Linked DNA regions of Ovis aries. The protein of the gene in region 1 purifies or fractionates together with the protein of each later gene. This does not show direct contact. Links are inferred from orthologs where the notes say so. Each region holds a gene or a part of one and is shown in the gene's direction. Other genes may lie near its edges. The genes, in order: MET, PLXNB1, LGALS1 and GAB1.

Region 1 (5,173 bases):
AAACAGTCGTGGGTCAGTACAGTATAGTATGTTTTCCTATGTGGTAAGTCTAGGCATTCGTTTTCTCATGAACTAGGATATTTAATTATTACTTAATGTACTTAGAGTTATAAAATTAACAGGTTATTTTATTTTGTTTTTATCTCTCATTCAGGATCCTATAATAACAAGTATTTCTCCAAATTATGGTCCAAAAACTGGTGGCACTTTACTTACATTAACTGGAAAGCACCTAAACAGTGGAAATTCAAGACACATTTCAATTGGTGGAAAAACATGTACTTTAAAAAGGTGTTGTAGTTTGTCTTTTGTTTCATCAGTCAAGTTGGATTAATATTTGTACCTAACAAATCAAGAAAATATTGTTCTTTTGTGGCAAAAAGTCAAGAGGTTTATTATTTACTGTCCTTACCTTAAAAGACTTCTTCTTCCCAAATCCCTCTACTCCTTTTTGCTGTTTTTTCTTCCCTTCCCTTATGGTTTATTAATTCCACCTTCTTTATTGTTATACTGAGTATCCCACCTATGCTATAAGCTGTGAGGTTCAGTTAATTGACAATAAACATTTCCGTCAAGATTTACAATTAGATCAGATCACTTTGGGGTGGTGAGAGCCATGAGGGAGACTAGGTTAGAAAGTTATGTTTCTGCTTCTTAAGAGATGGGAAAGCTTAAATCAAGTACCAAAACTTTAAAAATTGCTTAAAATCCCAAATGTTTTTAAGTCAGGTAGCTTGCCTACAACAGAGCTAAGTCTGGGATCTAGTCAAATACAAACACCCTACATTAAAAAGAGCTTTTTTCCCCCTAGAAATTCCCATTTAGGTGCTATTGACTGATATCCTTTTTGACTTATGGATATAATTCTAACATATGTGTGTCTTTAATAACAAAGATCCATTTTCTTAATTTTTTGTTCAGTGTTTCATATAGTATTCTCGAATGTTATACCCCAGCCCAAAGTGCTCCAACTGAGTTTTCTGTTAAATTGAAAATTGACTTAGCCAACCGAGAGGTGAACAGCTTCATTTACCGGGAAGACCCCATTGTCTATGAAATACATCCCACCAAATCTTTTATTAGGTAAGTAAAAGTTTCTGATGGGTATAAGAAAGTAATAAACTTGAGAATGATTGGCTGTCAAATAGTCAAAAGGAAGATAGTTTTATCTCTGGATTTGATACTATTGCATTTCTTTTGAAGAATACCTTTCCAATTCAGGAGTGAAAACTACAGTCAGGTTCTGAGTACAATTTGACTTTATCAGTGCTAGTTCATGCCATTTTATCCTAGTCTAAATTTACTGAACATCATAGTATTTAAGCTGAACATCATAGTATTTAAGCACTTATATTGTGTACATTTTAACTCTTTACTAACCTTAGTGCCTAAGAGTGGAATCACCTTTTTCTGTCACTTTTACAGTGTATTTTTCCTTACCTAATTTACACACAACTTTTCCCTATACCAGTGTGTTAATCACTCAGTCATGTCCAACTGTTTGTGATCCCGTGGACTATAGCTTGCCAGGGTTCCTCTGTCCATGGAATTTTCCAAGCAAGAATACTGGATTGGGTTGCCATTCCCTTCTCTATGAGATATTCCTGACCCAGGGATCAAATCCAGGTCTCCCACGTTGCAGGCAGATTCTTTACTGTCTGAGCCAATACCAGACTCCCTCTAAATCATTATCTCACTGGACCCATTTCAGTCTGCCTTATTTCTGTTATTTCAATCAGTCTAGCGACAGTAGTTAAATTCATTTTTCTTTGTATTTTTTTCAGACAGGAAAAAATATTTCTTTTGTGTGTTTGGTGAATAAAAAGAGAAATTCATTCCTTCAGCTTGTGAAATAATGAATTTTTAAAATATTTTCGGGTGAAATAAGTTATTTCCAAAGAAAATTTACCACTGAACTTTCATTTGACTTCAATTTCGCTGTAACTTGTAGTTACTACATGTGATTTAATTTCATTTCTCTCTTAAAATACTTGATAGAGAAAGAACCTCTCATTGCTATTTTTCTATTTTATTTTGCCAGTGGTGGGAGTACAATAACAGGTGTTGGAAAAAACCTGAATTCAGTTAGTATCATAAGGATGGTAATAAATGTGCATGAAGCCGGAAAGAACTTTACAGTGGTAAGTCCTCTACATGATAGTTGTGCTTAGAACTCTGCATCTCTGCCTCTGCTGCCTGCTTTCAGGGTACCAGAGACATTTCAGTTTTGCCTTTAATGTCTGCTAGTTATCTTACCTGCAATGTAGTCAGTAGGATTTTTTTAATTCAGTGACTAAAAATATCTAGTCTCAGGCTAACAGAAAACACACTCACACATAATGTTTAGACACAAATAATGATTATCAACTTAAGGCAGTGTTTTTTAAAAAGTCAGTACAAATGCAAACTACATCATCCCTGTCTTAGTCTGTTCAGGGTTCTAAACAAAAATACCATAGACTGAGTGGCTTACATAGAAAACATTTATTTTTTCTCATAGTTCTCAAGGTTGCGAAGTCCAAGACCAGGGTGCCAGCAGATCTGGCTTTCTGGGGAGGGCCTGCTTCCTGGTTTGCAACTGATTATGTTCTCATTGTATCCTCACATGGAAGGGAAAGAAAGAGGAAGCAAGCTCTCTTGTGTCTCCTCTTATGAGGGCACTAATTCCATCATGAGAACTTCACTCTTATGACCTACTTACCTCCCAAAGGCCCCATCTCCAAATCCCATCATGTGAGGGATTAGGGTTCCAAATATGAATTTGAGGAGGATGCAAACATTCAAACCATAGCATTTCCCTATCCTCCTTTTTATAATGCCCCCTAGAACATCAACCTTTTTGGTCTAATAAAACCCCTGGGTAAAGCCTTTACTCTTGCCAAAGCATCCATGTCTTCCTAAGTGGTACGGTGTTTTCTTTCATATCCCTTCTTAACCATGCCTCTTGTCCTTTTGTTAGCATGTTATCAAATAATGAAAAAGAGCATTAAAATACTTATGTCCTAGAATGGGTATGATGTGTAACACTTCTTCACCTTTTTTCTTTAATTTGCAAGGTCCATCAGAATTTAACTGAATTCCTCCTTAAATTGACCTATTTTGTGCTCTGACAGTTTGGGGTCACATTGAAGTGGCAGTTTTACTTCAGACTTCAGGAAGTTTGGAGTTATTTATGAAGATTATATGTTTTGTTGTTTTTCTCTGATATAAAATATCCATAATCTAGTCAGACTACACACAACTTAGAATGAAAGTTCTAAGTGCCCCCTCTCAGGCAGGGTCTTGATTGGGGAGGTAATAGATTGAATTACAGCACTTCCTTTTAGATTCTCATCCAATATTTCTTGAAGGCTAAGGCCACAGTGTGCTTTAATTACAAAAACCAATTTCGGGCTAAAAATGTCAAGCCAAATCACCAAACAATAAGGTCATCTCAAATAAGATTTTTCTTGACCTTCTCAATCAGCCACATTGCATCACCTCTAAAGAGTATTATTAGATTTTTATAATATTCCTGAGAGATTATACTCTAGGGAGTCCCCATATGAAGTAGAGAGCTTTGAAACCAATCCCTGCACATGGCCACAAACAAAGTTAGAATACCACCACTATTAATTTAAAGGACATCAGTTCTCCACAACCAGGCATAGCAATTTTTCATTAACCAATAAAAATAACAATAACCCCCTTTGGTGTTGGCATGCAACTTTTTAAAGTAGAAGTCTGAGAAATTATTAGTTTATCTAATTCACACTGAGGTTACATTATTAAAATCATGACAGATTTCTTCCCTCTGCCTCACCAACATTATGATGACACATGACATCATTCGTTCATTTGTAATATGTAGTTTTTAAAAACCTCCTAGGTGTGACAAAGAAGATTGGAACAACAGTAGAAGATTAGAATCTTGTCCGTTTGCATATCTGGAAATGTAAACTTTGTTATTTTAGCCACAAAGATATTAAATAGAACAATGGATTCAATTTGGACAGGAATGAAAAATTCAGTGGGTCTATTTGACTATTGTTTGCAAAAAATCTCATAAAGAGACCCGTGTTCTTTCCATATTCCCTGCTTCTTGTAGAATCTGAAGCTGACCATGATGAATTGAAGCCATTCATTATTTAACAGATGAAAACTCTTGTTCAGGTCTGATTTAGATTTACTGATCCAGCCAGAGTAAATTTCCAGTCTAACAAATTCAAATCTTTTAAAATAAAAATATTGATCATCTTCTTAACAAAATGCATATTAATTTGTTATCATACATTATGCCCCAGAAGCCAGAAGTTTGTTAATTTTCAAGTTTCTTGTTACATAGAAAATTATTGTAATAGCAGTAAAGTTGTTCATTTCCGTTTTTCAAGACCATAGGATAGCTTTTAGCATTGTCATATGGATTTGATACAAAACTAAGTAATATTTTATACCAATTATGTCTGTATATAATTTTTCTTCATCTGCATATAGCACACATTTTTCAATATAGAACAATTTTTAAGTCATTTTTAAAAGAAAATATCAAATATCCAATTTTGTTTGTGCTTTTTCTGTATATCCTGAGTATTATTCTATTGTGGACATAAGTAATTGTTTTATCTCCAACTCTACTTGTCAAAGAAAAGGAAATCTAAGGGATGTTGTTGCTTGTTTGTCTTTTCCTTGGGGGGAAAAATGCAACCATTTAACCTTAAATGCACTACTTTGTGTTGCTGGTTTCATCTAAGCACAATCAAGAGGAAACCACATTTTCCAAACTTCTATAAATCAGAATTATAAAGGGGAAATTTTTTAATGAAAGATGAAAGGACATGAAATAATGATAGAGGAACCTTTGTAAAATAGAGAGGATAGGAAAAGTTTGACCAATGTGGAATACAGAGTGAACAAGAAACCACACAGCATGGGAGTCATGTGAATTTTAGAGCCAGTAGTCTAGGATTTATGTTCTTTACTTTGCTACTCAGAGCTTTGTGACCTGGTCTGATTATATCAGCTCAAAAAGCTCTAGCACCTACCTCATAGGACTATTGTGAGAATTAAATGATGCCAGCCTTGTGAAATATTTTGCACAGAACCTGGCACTCAGTAATTGATAGCTTAAAACACACTAATAAGATGATCTTACTACATAATTAATTATAGTGTGAACCATATGGTGCTTGGCAGT
Region 2 (5,963 bases), on another chromosome or scaffold:
AGAGAATGAAGTAATGAAGTGGACTTCCGGGAGTGTGCTCAGCCTGAGTCTGACCTCACCGGCACACATCCTTTGCTTTTTACACTAATTGACATTAACTAGCAAATATTTCTTCTTGCCTGGAGAATCCCAGGGATGGGGGAGCCTGGTGGGCTGCTGTCTGTGGGGTTGCACAGAGTCGGAAACGACTGAAGCGACTTAGCAGCAGCAGCAAATATTTGTGCTCACGTCTTTCAATTAAAACGTCTTTCATTTTTCTTATTTAAAGTAATGTATGTGAGACTGAGTTTTGTCCATTGAACATTCAGATTTGGAACTCGAGGGTAGGGCCTGAAAGTAAGATAATCGCCCCCTATAGTTCCTCTCTCATCTCTTGATCCGGCCCTTGGTTCAAGACCATTTTTGATACACTGGTCCCCCCCTACCCCGCCCCAGGCCTTGATTTTCATTTTGGATTTCCTGGCCTGTCCTCCACTTGTCCAACCCACCTGTGTCGGATGGCCCATGATTTCCAGTAAATAAAACTTGGCTTGGTGGTGACCATGGTAACAGCCTGTTTTGGATCACTTGCTGTGCCATGTTGGAGAGAACTTCCTGGTTCTAACACTGGAGGATTGATCGGAGGAGAGCAGGAACAAGGATTGGGGGAATGGTTGGTAAATACTGCCGGGGACAGAATTACAGGGATTGGCGACCAATCTGGTTCCCTGCTGGAGTGCCACTTAGGCAGGGTGTCATCTCACACACAGCCTAGGGATGGCCTTTCCAGCCTTGGGCAGAGCTCAGCCCACCAGCAGTGTGAGCAGTGAGGCAGTGATGGGGAGGGACCTCTCAGAGGTGGGAGGTACAGTTGGGGGGCATGGAGGCGTACTGCACTGAGAACCCTTGACCTCTTCCTTCTCAGTGGAGAACAGCAGCCTTTGACCTCCTGGGTCAAATGGCCATGGGTGGCCTTGTGTGTCCTTGAGTAAACAGCAGCGAGGAGGTGCTCTGCTTGCACTGTGGGTCTGAAGAACCCACCCTCCTTTCAGGACCCAATGAGGTGGGTCAGCAGGTTGAGTAGAGCTGATGCACAGCAGAGGCATGTGGATGCAGAAATGCTTCCATGAGATCCCGCCCTTCTTGGGAGCCTGTGCTCAGCCCTGGCCAGTGGCCCCATGGGTACAGCGAACCTCCGATCGTCTGGTCACTCCATCCGTGGCCTTCTTTTCTTTTTGTAATGATTCCTTCGGAGGGTGTGGGATGAAATGACCTCTATACTTGGGATGTTCATCCTCCTGGTGGGGTAGGAGATACCATATCTGTCTATAGATGAGGGGTGTTGTGGGGTTTGGAAATCCTAGGTCCTAAACCTAGGTAGGTGAGGTGGGTCCTAAAGGGTGTGCACTTGAGTGAATGGGTCTGGGGAGGGGAGGGGTCCAGGTACTTGGAAGGGCCACCCAACACCCCCAACAAGCTGCACAGAAAGGCAAGGCAAAGGTGGCTGAGGGCCTTGGGGCACACCAGCTTGAATGAGGTGGTGATTGGTGTGGAGCATAAGTTTAGAGAATGACGTGGGGGACCCAGAAGGCAAGATAGCACCTGGGGTCTGTGAAATCCAGAGACAGAACTGGCACAGACAGGGTGCTGAACCCTGGACCCAGATATTGGAAGATTGGTTGGAGGTCCGGGGAGCAAGCCGAGGTGCTGGTGAGGGACAACTTGGAAGGCAGAGTCCTGTGAGAGTGAAGGCACACTGATGGGTGGAAGGTGGGAAGAGGGTGCCTGAAGTTTAGCTCTTTACACAGCAGCCAGTGTGGATGATGTAAACCTGATTGAGGTCCCCCTCAAGCCTTGCAGAGGCCCTGGGAGCTTTCAGGGTGTGTGACCAATTTTGCCTCCCAGGCGGCTGTCCCAGTGGCTGAGAGCCAAAACCCTGCGGAAGTCCTAATAGGATGGACCAAGTGCTGGCTCCTGAGTTTGCAGGGAGCCAAGCCTGAAGGGCCCTGCAGAGGGCACACCTGGGCCTCAGGAGAGAACCCAGGTGTGCCTTTGGAAGGGTGACGTATTTACCGGTGAGGGAGTCTAGACTTGCCCACGGCTTCTCAGCTTGGGGCGGGTCCAGGTACAGGTTTGGGAGGAAATGCGCCCTAGCTTGTGCACGTTTGCAGCGGTGGGCCCAACTCTCCCAGCCCGGCTAGGTGTGGCATCACCTCCACTTGACGGTGAGCAAACAAGCATGTGTGTTTAGGGGGCAGGGGTCAGGTTTCTTGGCTCAGTGATGGCGCAAACCCAGGCCCAACCCCAAAGCCAGCGCTCTTCCCGCACAGCCAGAGGTGGGGGCCGGAAGGAGAGCTTGGCCGTTTGAGAGTCCCAGGAGTAGGACCGGTGGGCAGAAACCAGGCGCCCCGGAGTTCAGGTAAAGAAAGTTGGAGGAGGATGGCCACAGGAGCCAGGTACTGGGCAGGTAAGAGGGAGCTCGGGGGCCCCGGAGAGCGGGGGAGGTGGTTGGCGGGGCAGGTGAGGGGCGTGAGTCCCACCGGGCGCTGGCAGGCAGGCAGGCGGAGGTCCGGGCGAAGCACCACCACACGTCGGGGTGCAGAGCGCGACCCCCAGCCCCCAGCCCCCGCCGTCCGGCCCCTCCCGTGCCGGAGGGCTCCCAATTTCGGCTCCAGCGAGGCGCGCAGGTGAGGCCCGGCGGGGACTGGGCCGGGTGGGGCAGCAGGTCCCGCGGCTCGGCTCTGCGCGCTCCTCCCGCCGCCATCCGCGTTGCCTTGGCAACCGCCGGGGTGCAGCCCTTCTCCCCTCCCCTGCCCCCACCGTCCGCCCCCTAGCGAGCGAGGGGTCGAGTCCCCCGCCCTCGGCAAGTGCAGAGCCGGGAGGGCTGGAATGCGGGGTCCCGGGCGGCTCGGGGCCGCGCGCCCGGCTCTCCCGGCTGCTTCCGGCCTGGCCTGGGCTGCGGGCGGGGGGAGGGCGGCCCGGCGGGCGCGGGGGGGGGGAAGGAGCGGAGCCGGGCCCGGCCGACGCGGCTTTGTCTCCTTTGTTCCCGGCGGTGGCAGCGCCGCTGCGGGCGGGGCGGGCGGCGGGCGCAGTTTTCCGCCCCTCGGTCTCCGGGTAACAGCTGCGACTCCGCCAGACCCACCTCCGGGAGGTGGCGGAGCGGGGGGGGGGTGGCGAGCAGGGGACGGGGGAGGCCGCCGCGCGCGCAGATCCCGAACCCGGAGCGGCCGGCGCCCGCCTCGGCGCGCTCGTCCCGCGGGGCCCGGCCGGGTGGTGAGTGCGGGGCCCGGGGCCGGGCGGTGGGGCCGGGGCGACGCGTCCCCGGGGTGGACGGGCCTGGAGCCGCGATGCCGCCGGGCCGACGCGGCCCGGGGTGAGTGGTGGGCGGCTTCAATCCTGAGAGTTGGGACCACACTTCTCCGCGCGAAGGGAAACTCTGTCGGCTCCGCCTGTAACGCGATTGGGAGACAGAGGAGGTGGAGCCGCTCCTCCGCGCCCCCTCCTCGCCGCCGCCGCCTCAGCCGGGGACCGGCCGGCCTCTTCCCCGCCCTCCCAGGACCACTGGGGGGGTCCTTGCCCTGGTCGGGGAGGAGGGAGGAGGGTCGGGGAAGAGCAACAGGGAGGTCCAGGCTTCCCCTCCGCAGTAACAGCCCTTCCAGGCGGTACTCGGCGCGACTGACAAAAGGCAGACTGGGATTCCCCCCGCCACGCACCCCCAGAGGGGGAGCCCCCCACCCCGCACCCAGACGGTGGGTGATTGATGAGCGCTCGTTGAGTCCTCACTGGTAAATGGTGCCCCCCACCCCGCCCCTACCCCGGCTCAACACAGACAACAGGGCAGGCACTCTCCACTCTGATGCTGTCAATGAGTAACTTCTGGGTGCACCCTGGGAGCCCAGCGAGAAGGCCATAAGGAAAGGCCGGTTTCACACCAATCCCGGCGACTCCGGTGAAGAGGGCTGGGATAGGAACATTCTCCCAGTTTCAAGGGCAGAGTTTATATGCCCTTTTGGTTGGCCAGGACAGCCCCAGGTCCAGGAGACTGGTTGTTCTTTGCAGGCAGAAGTTAGGCAGCCTTGGGTCCTGCTGAATCGGTCCAGAGTTGGGGGGCCCAGAAGAGCTAGGCTTTGACTGTAGTTGGGGCTTGAGATGTGGAGGGTGGAGGAGAGATCTTATTTGTATAAGTTGGGAACTGGAGGCCCAGCTCCAAAGCACCCTTTTCAGTCTGCTCTGGCCTAGTCATTAATAAAAGTGGGGCTGACAACTGTGTCCTTCGAGAAGCTGAGTGGCTTGGAGTGGGTTGTGGGTTCCGCATCTCCCCTGCTGGCTGAGTTTTATTGGCTGTGAAATGAGGGTTCTTTTTATCATTTGAGGAGCACCTGCTCCGTGCTAACGTCTGTCCCGCTTACTGGGGCCTCTGAATTAGAAGTCACATTCTTTGCCTTTAAGGAATTTCAGGATAGGAGCGTGGAACAGGGAGAAAAGTGGCCTTGGTTGGTGCCTCGCGTGCCAGGCACACACCACATCACGTTGAACGATCAGAGCAATCCTGCCTCCCATTCTCCAGATGGGAAATCTGAGGCTCAGAGACCCCAAGGCAGAGCTGCAATGTACACCAGGGTGGTGGCTGGGGATGCCCACCAGTCACACGCGGTGGGCTTCTCAGGAGCCTGGGGGACAGTGAGGGCTTCTCTGGGAGGTGATGGTTGGGTACCTCATGTAATAGGGAGTGAGCGTGGGGGAGTGTGATGAGCAGTCTGCAGTTCGGCCTGGCAGGAACGAAGAGCATGTGTGGGGGAGCCCTGGCAAGGATCCCGCAGGAGAGCGTGTGGACGGGAGGGCTTGACCTTTATCCTCCGGGCCCCGGGGGGTGCCTCCAAAGATGCTGGAGAGAGGGACATCCTCTGAGGTGGGAGGAGGTGCACTGGAGGGGCCAGAGGCTGTCTGTGACCAAGGTGAAGTGAAATATGTGACCGATAAGGAGAAAAATGTCACCACCCTTCTTTCCTTCCCACCCGTGGTATGTGGGGAAGGGCGAGGGTGGCTCGGCCCCGTGGCAGTGATTGAAGAAGGCTGACACTTTCCCCAGCGGGGGTCAGCCTCCAGCCTTCGATGTGACTTTGCCAGAAGCTGTTTGGGTCCTGCCCATTGGCTTCCTGTGGGCCACTCGACCCAGTTGTGATTTTACATGTAGGGAGTGCCTTGGTGGCTGCCCCTTGAGGGTTGGAGAACTCTGGCATGAAGTCCGCGCTGAGCAAATGTTTGTAATCGAATGGTGGGGCAGACCCTCTGCCCAAGGCGTGTCCCTGGGAGGGAGGCGGTGGGAGGGGCCGAGCAGTAGCTGAGTGTAGCAGCCGGCCTTTGCCCATCCTCAGGCAGACCCCATCTTCCTGGGGGAAGAAACTTTCCCCACTGTGCCTTGGATACAAGGTGGGGGGCTCCTGGGAAGCCTGGCCTTGCCATAGTCCTGGGCTTCTCGCCGGGTTCACGGCTCTCCCTGCCGCCCCCCTCCCCCTGCCCCCTCGGTGGCAAACAGTGGCTGCCTTGTTCCCGCTCCCATAGAGCTGTCCTGTTCTCTGCACACTAAAAATGGAAACCCCCAAGCTATTTTGGGAGCAGTGCCCAGCCAGGCTGTGGCCACAGCTCCTCGCTGGACCTTCCTGCAAGCCTTACGCCCAGCCCTGCTCCCTCTGGGCCAGCCTCAGGAGCACCCAGCTGGGGGGGGCCTCGGCTGGGAGGAGTCAACCTGGACCCTGGGAAGCTGTTGGAGGAGCACTGTGCACCGGCAGACTGGCAGCCGGGTGGCAGGAGGGGCCGGGCCATGTGGCCTGGACACAAACAAGCAGGGAGAACATCTCACAGCTTGGGATGCGCTGCCGGTCCCCAGCGCTTTGCCTACCCTGGTGCTCCAGGCTGGAGACCAGCCAGGTTTTAGCAAGGTGGTGGCATGGTTTCCTGGTCTCCCCAGGCTTCAGGTGGAGTCT
Region 3 (5,877 bases), on another chromosome or scaffold:
CAGTGGGCCTGGGCACCACCCACCCCTGCCTAATGTGGAGGTCTGGAGGGAGGCCCTCGAGGAAAAAGGGAAGCACTTTTGCTGGTTGGTTTCTGAGGCAGTTGGCTTGGTCTAGAAGGGGTGAGGGGCTCACAGGGGGGTGCCACCCAGCCTCTCTGGGCCTGCCTCTCAGCCCGCTGCCCTCCCCTCTCCTCCTGTGCCAATGTGGGCCTCCGTCTCTGGAGGAAGATGGGGGCTGGGGAGGCAGTGAGCTTGGGGCAGGGCCTCTAGATGTGAGTCACCCCTGGTCCACATCTTAGCTCTTCAGTGCTGGTAATTTCAGAAGGGGGACAGTGATGTGAAGGAGGGCCTGTTGGTACCTCTCTTAGCAAGCCCCCCACTCCACCCGCCCAGGGCTCCCCGTGCTCCTCTCTCTACTTGGTTTCTGAATGTGAGGTGAGCACCCCTTGAACCCACCCTCAAGTCTGTTGCTACAGTGGTTTTCCCTGCAGTCTAAATCTGGCCTCACTACTCAATCTTCATATAACTTTCTGTGGCCTACCCAGCACCCTCAGATCAAACAATACCCAAACCCCTCCGTGAGGCCCTTCATGATCCAGTACCATTGGCCGCCCAGCCTCATAACCCCATCTTTCCCTAGCACCCTCTAAACTCCAGCCATGCCCAGATGCTCACAGTTGCCCAGATGCTCACAGTTCCCCAGACGTGTGCTGTCTCATTTCTGTGCCCATGCTGGAATGCCAGTCCCTGCTTCTTCACCCATCCTTGAAGACTGACCTTCTAGGACTTCTCTGGCAGTCCAGAGGTTAAGACTCTGCCCTTCCACTGCAGTTGGCACGGGTTCAGTCCTTGGTCAGGGAACTAAGATCCCGCATGCCACGTGGGGTGGCCAAAAAAAGGAAAGACCCACATTCTTCCCATTCTGGACCACCCCACTACAGTGCTTTCTCATGACTTCTCCCAGAGCCAGCATCGTGCTACTTCCTAATTAGGTTCACAGTCAAATTCTGCCCCCAACAGAGAGCTACTTGAGAGCAGGGACTGAGGGCTTCATCTTTGAATCCTCTGAGGCCAGCTCAGGGCCAGGCACATAATAGGTGCTCGGTAAAATACCTGCTAAACGGATGGGGAAAAGAAGTTGTGCCTGGTGTCAGAGGGAGAAATGGAGGCGGGTGCACAGACCCGGGACCCCAACTTTTTATGGCCTGGCTCACCGTGGGCCTCCTTCCAGGCCTGACCCTCTTGGACAGGCCAGAAGCTGTTAGGCAGGGGCTCCTGGAGGATCCGCAGCAGGGCCCTCGGGAGGGCCAAAGCCTGCGGCCTGAGTCCCGAGTCTGGGCGGCAGCCTCAAGCCTGGCACCAGCCCAGCCTTTCTTTAGCGCTAGTGAAGAGCAGAGCAGCAGCCGCAATCCCTGTTTCCGGAGGAGGCAGGGCTTTGTGGTTAATGGGTCCTGGGCCCTCTGCAGAGGCGCCCAGAGTGGGCCACGCCCTGGCCCCTGCCAAGGAACAGAGCCTCTCGAACCCCAGATCTAATTCTCGAGGGACCCTGCACCCCTTCAGCTGTTTTCTCTGGGTATCCCCCCAGCTCAGCCAGCTAGCCCTGGCCCTCTTCTCGCTAACTCTTGGACCTAATTCATCCTCAAACTATTTTCCACTGGCTTCCCCCAATCCTTGCCACAGCACAATTTTGGGAAGGGGTAGGAGAATTGGGATGTGGACCCTGGACCTTGTGGGAGTGGCTAAGAAGGAATGACGGGGGAGGGGGGGTCTCCACTCCGATTGGTCATCTCTGCTTCAGAACTGGCTTCAAAATTCCATTAACTCCGCCTCCTGTGGCCCCCATCCCATTCCTGAGTTACAATTGGCTCAGCATCCAGGGGGCGGGACTCACCGGGGTCTGGTCCACTTAAAAGAGTGGGAGCGGCCCAAAGCCCATTTCTCCTGCAGAGTCTTCAGACAGCTGGTGCCGAAACTCCAGGAACATCCTTCTCTCTTCAATCATGGCTTGTGTGAGTATGCGGACCCCCCTACCCTAAGGCCCAGAGATGGTCTGGGGGCTCAGCTGGGGAGAGCTAGGGTAGATCAGGATCTGGGTTCTAGTTCCCGTGGTGCGGCCTTGAACAAGTGTCTTTTCTGGGCTTCAGTGGCCATGTCTGTAAAATGAGGGTAGGGCCACAGTCCCCCAAGGCCTTCTCTGGCTTAAGAAATTTCTGGATTCCTCCAGAGTCTGATAGCACAATTATTTCTGCCATGGTCTGACTTACTGCAGCTCTTTTGAGAAGTGGGAGTGGAAAGGGTGTGGCCGACTGGACATGGGGGCGGGGGGAGCATTTTCTTAGTGCCCAGGACACTCTCCCTTCCCCCTCCTCCACCCCATAGAAACTCCTCTCCCTTCCCCCCTGCAGCTGTCCCCAGTCCCTGGGCCAGGGCAGAGTCACCCTGTGCTCCAGAGAGCTCTGAAAAGTGGCCAGGATCTGAGCCACACTCCCTGGGGGTAGCCTGTATAGGTTAGCCCGCAGCAGTGGGTGATTCTGTCCAGATGGTCAGATGAAGGTTAGGGGAGAGTGCCCTACGACCCTTTCCTCCAGGCTAGGAGGGGTGTGTCTGTGTGATAAGGGATATCAAGGAGGAAGCTAGAATATTCTGCAGGCCCCGAGGGACAGGATTCAAGTTTTTGGCAGGAGGAACCACTCACACCAGTTAAGCTTTGCATTTGCATTTGTTAACCCTGAACCAGCCAGGGTGCAGGCTCCTACCCCGGGGCCCATTCTCCCTTCTTAGAGGGGTCTAACTGTGCTCCTTAGGGGACTCCTCTCCAGCCCCTGTCCCTCTCTGCACAGAGGGCCTTGAAGGGGATGGTGGACACCGCCCAGCTCCAGGCCTCTTCCTCTCCCTCTCCAGCAGATGTACAGACAGCCTCACTTGCCTTCCTTTGCCCCTAACTCGCAGAGACCATGTGGAGGTTGACTCTCTCCATCTATTCAGCGAGGCAGGCAATGGAGCAGGCTAGACATGGCATCTAAAATCCCCAGGCTAAACGGCAGAAACTTCTAGATCCTGTCTTCTTAGACTCTCAGTCCTGTTACAGACAAGAAATTGACCCAGCTGGGAGTAGGGACTTGCCCAGGACCACACAAAGATGGAGAGCCTAGAACTTGCAGCCGGGTTCCTCAGGCTTCAGGTCGGCCTGGTCAGAGCACCCTAAAAAGGGGACGACCCCACCCCTTAATCCCCACCCACCTCTCTAGACACCCCCCGCCCCCGCCATTGCGTCCTCTAACCCGGCTGGGCGGGGTCTCGTCTAGCAGGGTCTGGTCGCCAGCAACCTGAATCTCAAACCTGGGGAGTGCCTCAGAGTGCGGGGCGAGGTGGCCGCAGACGCCAAGAGGTGAGGGGTACGAGGGCTGGGGTGGCGGGCGGCAGGGGCGGGGGCTCAGCTCGAGGGAGGAGCCGGGCCCGCTGAGGGGCGTGGCTGGCTGGGTCCGGCCCCTCCCTCCGGCGGGGGCAGGTTTCAGGTCCGCGGCCGCTGAGGCAGTGTCTTCTGGATGAGTCACTTTCTCCGCGGGGTCTGGACGCCCCCACCATTGTCTCATCCTTAAACTGAACCAGCTGCGGCCTCGTCATCTACCTCGACTGGCCTTCCTCCCGCCCCTTTTGTGGGCGGGGCCTGAGGAGGCGGGGAGAAGGGAAGAAAGGGCGTCACCCTTGCTGCCCGCCTTCCGAGATCCGTTTTTTTTCTTTCACTTCTTCCTGAACTCATCATTCTTTCGGCCAGCTGGCCTAGTTTCTCCGGACTCTTGTGACCTTGCATCAGTCAACCCACCGCCTTGACCCTTATTTGTTAATCAGTTCATGGAGGGGGGAGGTTGCTGTGTGAAGGTGAAATGCTGGATCTCTCGGTGACGATGATGACCAGCTGACCGTATAAAAGAGCCGCAGGTTTCACGCGCACCACTTGTGCCATTCTTTCCAAACCCTCAGAGATAGGCATTGCTGTTAGCTCCACTCAGCAAATGTTCATGAGCCCCGCAGTTATTAAGCATCTACCTGCTGTGTGTCACGCTTCGTGCTGGGCACCAGGGCTACAGATAGACAAGACGGCCAGGACAGTTGCCCTCCCAGAGGACGCCATCTGGAGGGAGTCTCTGACCTTGATCAAAGGGGCTGGGACACACATTCATGTCTGCAAGAGTCCTGGCTGTCAGCATAGCAAGACCCTTAAGAGATGCTCTTTGTGCAGCCTCGGCTGTGTAGATATGGATACTGAGATCCAGAGAGGGGCAGGGACTTGCTCAGGGGCACAAAGCAAGGAGGAAGCAGGGACACAGCTAGAATCCAGGTTTCCTGCTTCTCAGCTCAGTGAGTTTCCCCAGCGAGGTGCATTCACACGGACTGGGGGGCACAGACTAGAGGGTCTGAGGGGGCTGTAGCCGGTGGAGGCAGCCTCAAGCCCACCTGTTACCCCCTAGCTTCTCGCTGAACCTGGGCAAAGATGACAACAATCTGTGCCTGCACTTCAACCCTCGTTTCGAAGCGCATGGGGACATCAACACCATCGTGTGTAACAGCAAGGACGGTGGGGCCTGGGGGGCTGAGCAGAGGGAATCTGCCTTCCCCTTCCAGCCTGGAAGTGTCGCGGAGGTGGGCTGGGGCCTGGGGGCGGCAGGGGATCAGGGCACTGGGTGGGCTGGGGCAGAGCTGGGTTGAGTGGCTAGAGACCTAGGTCCCAACCCTCCAACCCCGGTCCCCCTTCCTCTCCCTTCCCAGATCCCTGCCCTTCCCTCACTAGTTGTGTGATCCTCAGTGAGCAATATCCCCTTCTCCCAACCTCAGGGCCTCACCCATGAAGCAGGGCTGTTGTCAGGGCCGAGTGAGGAAAGGGCTCTGGGAGGGCCTAGGACCTGCATGCTGCAGCTGTGGCCGTGGAGTCAAGGGTCTCTGTGGGGTCCACATGCTCACTGCCCTTCTGCATCCCTAGGTATGCGTCTCCTTCAACGAGACAGACCTAACCATCAAGCTGCCTGATGGATACGAATTCAAGTTCCCCAACCGCCTCAACCTGGAGGCCATCAACTACCTGGCTGCAGGTGGTGACTTCAAGATCAAGTGTGTGGCCTTTGAGTGACATATGGGCCCCAGCCCATGGCCCCCAATAAAGGCAGCTGCCTGTGCTCCCCCTGATCCAGCCTCCTGTGTGTGTGGGTGTGGAAGAGGAGGGTTCCACCAACTCCCCCAAGCCCTGTCTCTGCCCTTTCCTTCACTTTCATTCACTACCTTGATGCATACCTTTTTGGGGGGTGGGGCTGTGCTATGTGGCTCGTGGAATCTGAGTTCCCTGACCAGGGATGGAACCCAGGCCCATGGCAGAGAAAGCATCTAACTGTTGGACCCGCCAGGGCACTCCCTTGATGTTATACCTCTTAAGTGGGCTTCCAACCCACTCCAGTATTCTTGCCCGGAAAATCCCGTGGACAGAGGAACCTGGCAGACTACAGTCCATAGGGTCGCAAAGACTGAAGTGCAGGCATTCCTCTTACGTGCCACTGACATCTTCTTCCCCTGGGTCCCCTGGGCTGAACAGAAAGCTCAGTACCCAGTAGTGAGCTCAATACTAAATAAGCCCGTCATTACCCTCAAACAGTTCGCAATTCAGGGGACCCCAGCACACAGTAGATGCTCAAAAGGTGTTGAATAAATGAAAACAGGGAGAGAGGCAAGAACAGGCTGATTCATGCCATGGTATCAGGCAGCACAGAGGGAGGTAGAGGGAAGAATACCTGGGGCCCCCTCATTTGTTTTCATAAACTAAGAAGCCGTCTGATTTCAGACAGTGCAGGGAAACCAGCTGTGTGCCCTTCTGGGCCTTAATTGACCTCA
Region 4 (5,659 bases), on another chromosome or scaffold:
CGAGAGGAACTGAATATGAATGTTGTATTAACAAGAACAAGCCTGAGGTTATTTTTTCCAGAAACGTTTGGCACTCTTATCTGATTATTTACACTACGTTCCAAAATCTGTCTAGGGGCTTTGTTTCTCATAAATACATTGGAAAAGATATTTCTCTTACAGGATCGTGTTAATCTCAGGGCCAGGTATCATAGTCATTGTAAAACACACAAAAGAAAACAAATAGCATTAGGACATCCAGTGAAGGTTCCCTTTTCTGGTCCAACACCCCAAGAGTTGATTTTAAATAAAAGCCAAGGCAAGTGGAAGAAACTGGCAACAAACGGAGGGAGTGTAAGGCTTCAAAATGTCCCCAGAGATAGATTCAACTGAATCCTTTGGGTCCACTAAGCGCTCCCACCACTCAGGCAAGGCTGCTCCGGGGACCAGCACACATCAGTCCGGAAGGGTCCCCTTCTGACCTCCCCTGCAGGCTGGTCGCCTTGGCGCGCTCCCAGCGACCTCGCCCTCCTGGTCTCCGCCTTTCAGTCTTGCGGGCAGAAACCCCGGGATCGCAGACTCTCCAGGGCGCGCGGTCTTCCTCCAGGCTGTTTCGCTTTCCACGCTGTCAAGTACCCGCCCCCCTCTCCCCCGCCCCCAACTCCCGATCTCCCGCACAGAACAAACTCCGAACTGACACTCGGCTGAGCCAAGATGGCAATCCACAGACTTGAACCTTCGAATGTTCCTCGGTCGCCCGGGAACCCGAGATGGCGCGGCGTTACCCTCGGCGAGGCTTCGCTGCCTTCCTTGGCGACCAGCCCGCCGGGGGCTCCGGGATCCACGGCCGCCGGGGGCGCCGAGGACCCCTCTCCAGCGTCCCGAACTACAGATCCCAGGGTGCCTCTCGGACTCCCGCGCCCTCCCTCGCTCGCTCCCTCCCTCCGCCCGTCTCCTCCTCCCTGGCCCTTGTTGTTTTGGCTGGAAGCGCTCCGGCGGAGTTTCAAAGAAAGTCTGGGCAGAAACCGGAGCCGGCCCGAACGTGGGAAGGGGAGGAGGAAAGAGAGGAAGAGGGAGCCGGGAGGCCGGGAGAGGGAGGGATCGGGGCCGGGGGCCGGGCCGCCCAGAACCTGCCGCGCGCCCTGGGGTGGGGGAGGCGGCGCAGGAGCAGCGCTAGGGGACGGGACGGTAGGCTTGGTCCCCGCAGCCAAGCAGCCCAGCGCCTCCTTCTTCTGCCGCCCTCTGCTTTCTCTCTCTTGCGGCGGCGGCCAGCACGGACCCACCCTTCGGCGGGACCTGCGCTCTGTCCAGCGACGCCGAGCCGGCGGCTCCCTCCGTGGCCCGGGACCAACCCTCAACCCTGCGCCCGCTGACCACGGGACCCTCGCGGCTTTCCCATTCCTTGCGGCGGTCCGGGCGCCTCGGGGAAGTGACCCACCCTCTCTCCAGAAGGAGGAAGGAGGGGATAGCGCCAAGCGCAGTAAAACCTAGAGCTGGCCAGTCGGAGTGGGCACTGCGCGGGGGCATTGTGTGTGTATGAGCGTGTGAGACTGTGTGTGCGCGCGTGCAGCGTCGTGTCTGTCTCGGAGTGCGCTCTGGGAGGTCCCATCCCGAAGGGGCGGAGCGCAGGGGGCCGAGGCTCGGGCTCCGCGCCGGGGCAGAGTCCCGTGGAGCCCGAGCGCAGAGGAGGCGGCCGGCGGGACGGCGCGCCTGGCGGCCGGGCGGGTGCACTGAAGGAAGGCCTGGGCATCTTCGGCCCGGCCGCGGCCCCTGCCCCGAGGTGTCGGCCTCGGCGGCTGTGCCCGCTTCTACTCACGTCCGCGGACCTGCCTGCGGGGAAGAAACTCGAACGCCAAGAGCCAGAGCGCCGCGGAGCCGGCCCGCCCCGTCCGCCTGGGGTGCGCCGCGGGAGAGCGAGGTCCCAGCAGCTGCACGGGCGTCCGGCGTCGAAGGTGTCGGGAGCGCGCCGGGCCCGCAGCCCTAAAGGCTCGCACCATGAGCGGCGGCGAAGTGGTCTGCTCGGGATGGCTCCGCAAGTCCCCCCCGGAGAAAAAGTTAAAGCGTTATGTAAGTAGAGCTCGGCCCCCGTTACCCTCCCTGGGCGGCTCGCGTGCCGACTGCTCCTCTTTAGTCCCCATCCCTTCCCTGTAGGCCCCTTCCCTGCCAGGCTGGGGACCCAGGCTGGACACTCATGCCCGGGCCTCCGCTTGGCCAGGCATCTTTCTTTCTCCAGATTGCAGACTGGAGAAATTTCTTTCTCCATCGGCCCTTAGGAAGGCCTGGTATGGCCAGCTGAGCGCCTGCTGAGTGTTTTTTATTGTTCCTTTTAGCAGGGGTTGAGGGGGAGAGCATTTTCCTTTCGTTAGACCTGCACCGAATTCTCAGGGGCTGCTGTGTAGTAAATTTCCCGCACTGAGAAAACCACGGAGGTATTAAAACTCACCAGCCCTCTCTTTGGACCGCCCTCCCTCCCGCCTTCCCCACGGGATGGTTTCGGAAAGCGGACGGGAGACCTGGGAAGTTGGCGTTAGAGCCGAGCATCTCCAATCCGCTCCACGGAAAAGAAAAAAAAAAGTTATTACGCGCCCTACCGTTTGCTTAGCGGGGTTCACACTTTCTCGGTTTTGAATCGAGGGACGTTGGAGTTTGGCCCGAGAGCCTTGGCAGTTTGCTGCGAGAGGAGGGCGCTGGGGGGAGCCTGATGGCTGGTGTTCGGGCGCCTTGGACACGCTGTCAAACCCTGTGGGAGGGGACAGCGAAGGCCAGTTAGGAGTTCTGTGTGTTATGGTCCTTTCCCAGGCCACCACAGTTGCTTCGTGGTATTTGTGTAATTGATACAAGATGCTGATTATGTGTTAAGCCGTTTTAGCCGTTAGGGGAAGTATTCCTTGAAAGAACCAACGTTACTGCAGCGGAAGTCTGTGTCCTCTTTGGGGAGTCTGGGATCTTATCCCCTTCTCCCCCATTGATTCTTCTGTCGCTGCCCACAGCAAAGGAAAGAAATGACACCTTTGCCCTCGCTTATGGAGCAAATATTTGTCTAGTAAAGTATGTCTCGAAAGCACAGTATGTGCCCCCTTAAATATAAATTTGCTAACGGGGAGAGTAATAATGGACCCTGTTTCTTGTGAAAGGATGTCTACACCCAATGCGAGAGCTCGAGGTAACCCTGTTAGTCAGTTTGCTTGCATAGAACGGAGTGAAGTGCAATATTTAACTTAGCCCACAACTCACCAGTGAGTTTCTGGTTTACTTGCTGCCAGAATTTGCTATAGGCAAGTAGTTCTCCTTTAAGGATTTGATGCCACAAATCCTAGGGATGTTCTTCAGAGATTTTTAAAATTCTTCCAAATTCCCTCTCTCCATCTATCACAGTTTGCCCAAGTATTCTGGTAAATATGGTGACTTTATTCTAAAAGTTGGGGTGAGAGGCAGTGTGTTTTTCAGTTGGGAGTTCTGTGTGTATGTATGTGGGGAGAGGGTGTGGTTTGATGTATTTGTTTTGAGAAGGTACTGTTTAGGAAATGATTGATTCTTGGGGAAACTAAAGAACACTACATTGGCTGGAATAGGTAGTGGTAATAGAGATTTAATGCTTTCTTTCACATGTTTGGTTTATGGCTCTCTCAAAAGATGCCACACGCTAGACTAGGGACCATAAAATTAAAAAAAAACAAAAACAAAAAAAAAAACCCAGCAGGAAAAAAAGCCTTGTCTCTTGGGCTTGCAATTTAATGTACTACAAAAAATCAGCCCAAACAATTACATCTTAACTGGACCAAGAAAATAGAAATTCTCAATTTAAGAATTTTAATATTTCATCTGATCATTACAACAGTTTTATGAGGCAGTTATTATCTGTCTTAAATGAGAACACAATCTACGGAACCAGAGTGTGCCAGAAGCAGGATTTGAACCCAGATCTGCCTGCCTGCCTGCCTGGTCTTTAAAAGGTGAACGCCTCTTATCAAGTTTAAGCTGTGCTGAGGCTGGGTCATGTGGATAGGACCTTTCAGGTTTATGACTTTCTGTGAGTCCGTGGATATAACACGCAAGGAAGAGTGGACTGTGGATCAGAGGTGCAGTGCTGAAGAAACACAGGACAAGCATATGTAGAAAAGGAAGCCATATCCATGTCAATGTGTGGCAAAAACCACCACAATATTGTAAAGTAATTAGCCTCCAATTAAAATAAATTAATTAATTTAAAAAAAAGAAAAGGAAGCCAGCAACTCCACGTGCTTTCTAATTGTGTGCCCAAGTTGAGCCCTATGGCCATTTCATAGATGTTTTCAGGAACAGGCTCATGTAGACGGAAATCATAGGATACGTCAGAGGAACAGTGGGCTCCCTCAATTGTTGTCGACTGAGGGCTGAATATACCTAACAGCTGAGAGAGGCAGGACACTAGGGTTTTCTTTCCACACTAATCAGTCCATGGATACAGCCCAGGAAGACTATGGGGAGGGTGGCTGCCAAAATTGAGGGGTCCAAGAGAGTTACTGGAGTCTTATAAGCTAAATTGAGGCTTGTCTTAATTTGCACTGTCAAGGTGATTGCCCAGAAGATTCTCACGTTTCCAGATGATTGCTGTTTGGCCTGATATTCAATATAGATAGTTTTGGCTAATACATCTTTACCCCTCAAAGATATGGCATATATATATACATGCATCTCCTCTGCTGAGTTTGGTTTTCATGTAAAATCTTTATTTTCTGGATGAAAGGAAACATTGTTGACCACCCAATAGGCAAAATGTTGCTTGATAATGGTTTTGAATGAACAAATTCTCTGTGATAAGATATCTTGACTTCCTGGTACCATAATTGCTAAGGGAGACTTCAGGGAGTTTTTGGGCATTGATTTGGAGGGGGGGGAACACTTGGCCCAGAGGACTTTGATAGTTGTCTCACTGTTTTCCAATATTTATAAGAGTAGTTCAAGCATTGATTAAGAGAATCCATCAGGGCTTTTAAGTGACAAAATATTGTTTTAGTTTTATCTCCAAAGTCATCTCAAGTTATGGCCCCAATGCATTCTACTTACAACTCCATTTTATGTTTGCTTTTTTAATTTTTATTAGTCAGCAGCATTGTTTTTACATATTAGTATGTCCATCTGCTATGGAAGTTTTTCTTGAATTTCCTAAACAGTGTGACAGTAGCATAAAAGATAGTAAGAAAAAGACTAGTGAGCAGATTCTCCGGCTATGTGATAAAAATAATTGTATTGGTTTGTGTATTTTGGGCCTTGCTGGGTCTTCGCTGCTGCAGGGGCTTTCTCTTCTTGAAGAGTGTTGGGGCAGCTCCCCAGTTGTGGGGCGGGGGCTTCTTCCTGTGGTGGCTTCTTGCAGAACACGGGCTCGAGGGGCACAGGCTTCTGTAGTTGCAGCACATCGGCTTATAGTTGAGACTCTTAGGGTCCAGAGCACAGGCTCAATGGTAGTGGTGCCTGGGCTTAGTTGTTCTGTGGTATGTGGGATCTTCCCGGATGAGGGATTGAACCCGTGTCTCCTACACTGATAGGTGGATTCTTGTCCACTGCGCCATCTAGGAATCCCTCTCCAGCCTTTTTGTCTCTCTTTTTCTTTCTATGTTTATTTGCAAAAGGGTAAGAACCTCTTGTATGTGTTTCATCCTCTATATTTTTAAAATATAGAATGGAAGTGAAGATTTTTCTG

Evidence for each region.
Region 2: the proteins of MET (region 1) and PLXNB1 purify together in Homo sapiens (co-immunoprecipitation; 3 studies listed by IntAct). This does not show direct contact. The link is inferred for Ovis aries from reciprocal best matches to the Homo sapiens genes MET and PLXNB1.
Region 3: the proteins of MET (region 1) and LGALS1 purify together in Homo sapiens (affinity purification with mass spectrometry; 3 studies listed by BioGRID and IntAct, with this or other methods). This does not show direct contact. The link is inferred for Ovis aries from reciprocal best matches to the Homo sapiens genes MET and LGALS1.
Region 4: the proteins of MET (region 1) and GAB1 purify together in Homo sapiens (affinity purification with western blotting; 3 studies listed by BioGRID and IntAct, with this or other methods). This does not show direct contact. The link is inferred for Ovis aries from reciprocal best matches to the Homo sapiens genes MET and GAB1.

Annotation. Positions count from the first base shown.
Region 1 is NC_056057.1:53,127,079-53,132,251, reverse strand, and holds part of MET (hepatocyte growth factor receptor precursor), read left to right. Parts: coding exon 1-43; intron 44-154; coding exon 155-291; intron 292-921; coding exon 922-1,083; intron 1,084-2,041; coding exon 2,042-2,141; intron 2,142-5,173. UniProt on the Homo sapiens protein: Receptor tyrosine kinase that transduces signals from the extracellular matrix into the cytoplasm by binding to hepatocyte growth factor/HGF ligand. Regulates many physiological processes including proliferation, scattering, morphogenesis and survival.
Region 2 is NC_056072.1:51,461,242-51,467,204, forward strand, and holds the start of PLXNB1 (plexin-B1), read left to right. Parts: upstream 1-2,327; 5' UTR 2,328-2,398; exon of another isoform or gene 2,399-2,446; intron 2,447-3,006; exon of another isoform or gene 3,007-3,093; intron 3,094-3,113; exon of another isoform or gene 3,114-3,252; intron 3,253-5,963. UniProt on the Homo sapiens protein: Receptor for SEMA4D. Plays a role in GABAergic synapse development. Mediates SEMA4A- and SEMA4D-dependent inhibitory synapse development. Plays a role in RHOA activation and subsequent changes of the actin cytoskeleton.
Region 3 is NC_056056.1:215,341,858-215,347,734, forward strand, and holds LGALS1 (galectin-1), read left to right. Parts: upstream 1-1,934; 5' UTR 1,935-2,000; coding exon 2,001-2,009; intron 2,010-3,305; coding exon of another isoform or gene 3,306-3,308; coding exon 3,309-3,388; intron 3,389-4,469; coding exon 4,470-4,641; intron 4,642-4,978; coding exon 4,979-5,125; 3' UTR 5,126-5,181; downstream 5,182-5,877. UniProt on the Homo sapiens protein: Lectin that binds beta-galactoside and a wide array of complex carbohydrates. Plays a role in regulating apoptosis, cell proliferation and cell differentiation. Inhibits CD45 protein phosphatase activity and therefore the dephosphorylation of Lyn kinase.
Region 4 is NC_056070.1:14,613,519-14,619,177, reverse strand, and holds the start of GAB1 (GRB2-associated-binding protein 1), read left to right. Parts: upstream 1-1,638; 5' UTR 1,639-1,974; coding exon 1,975-2,046; intron 2,047-5,659. UniProt on the Homo sapiens protein: Adapter protein that plays a role in intracellular signaling cascades triggered by activated receptor-type kinases. Plays a role in FGFR1 signaling. Probably involved in signaling by the epidermal growth factor receptor (EGFR) and the insulin receptor (INSR).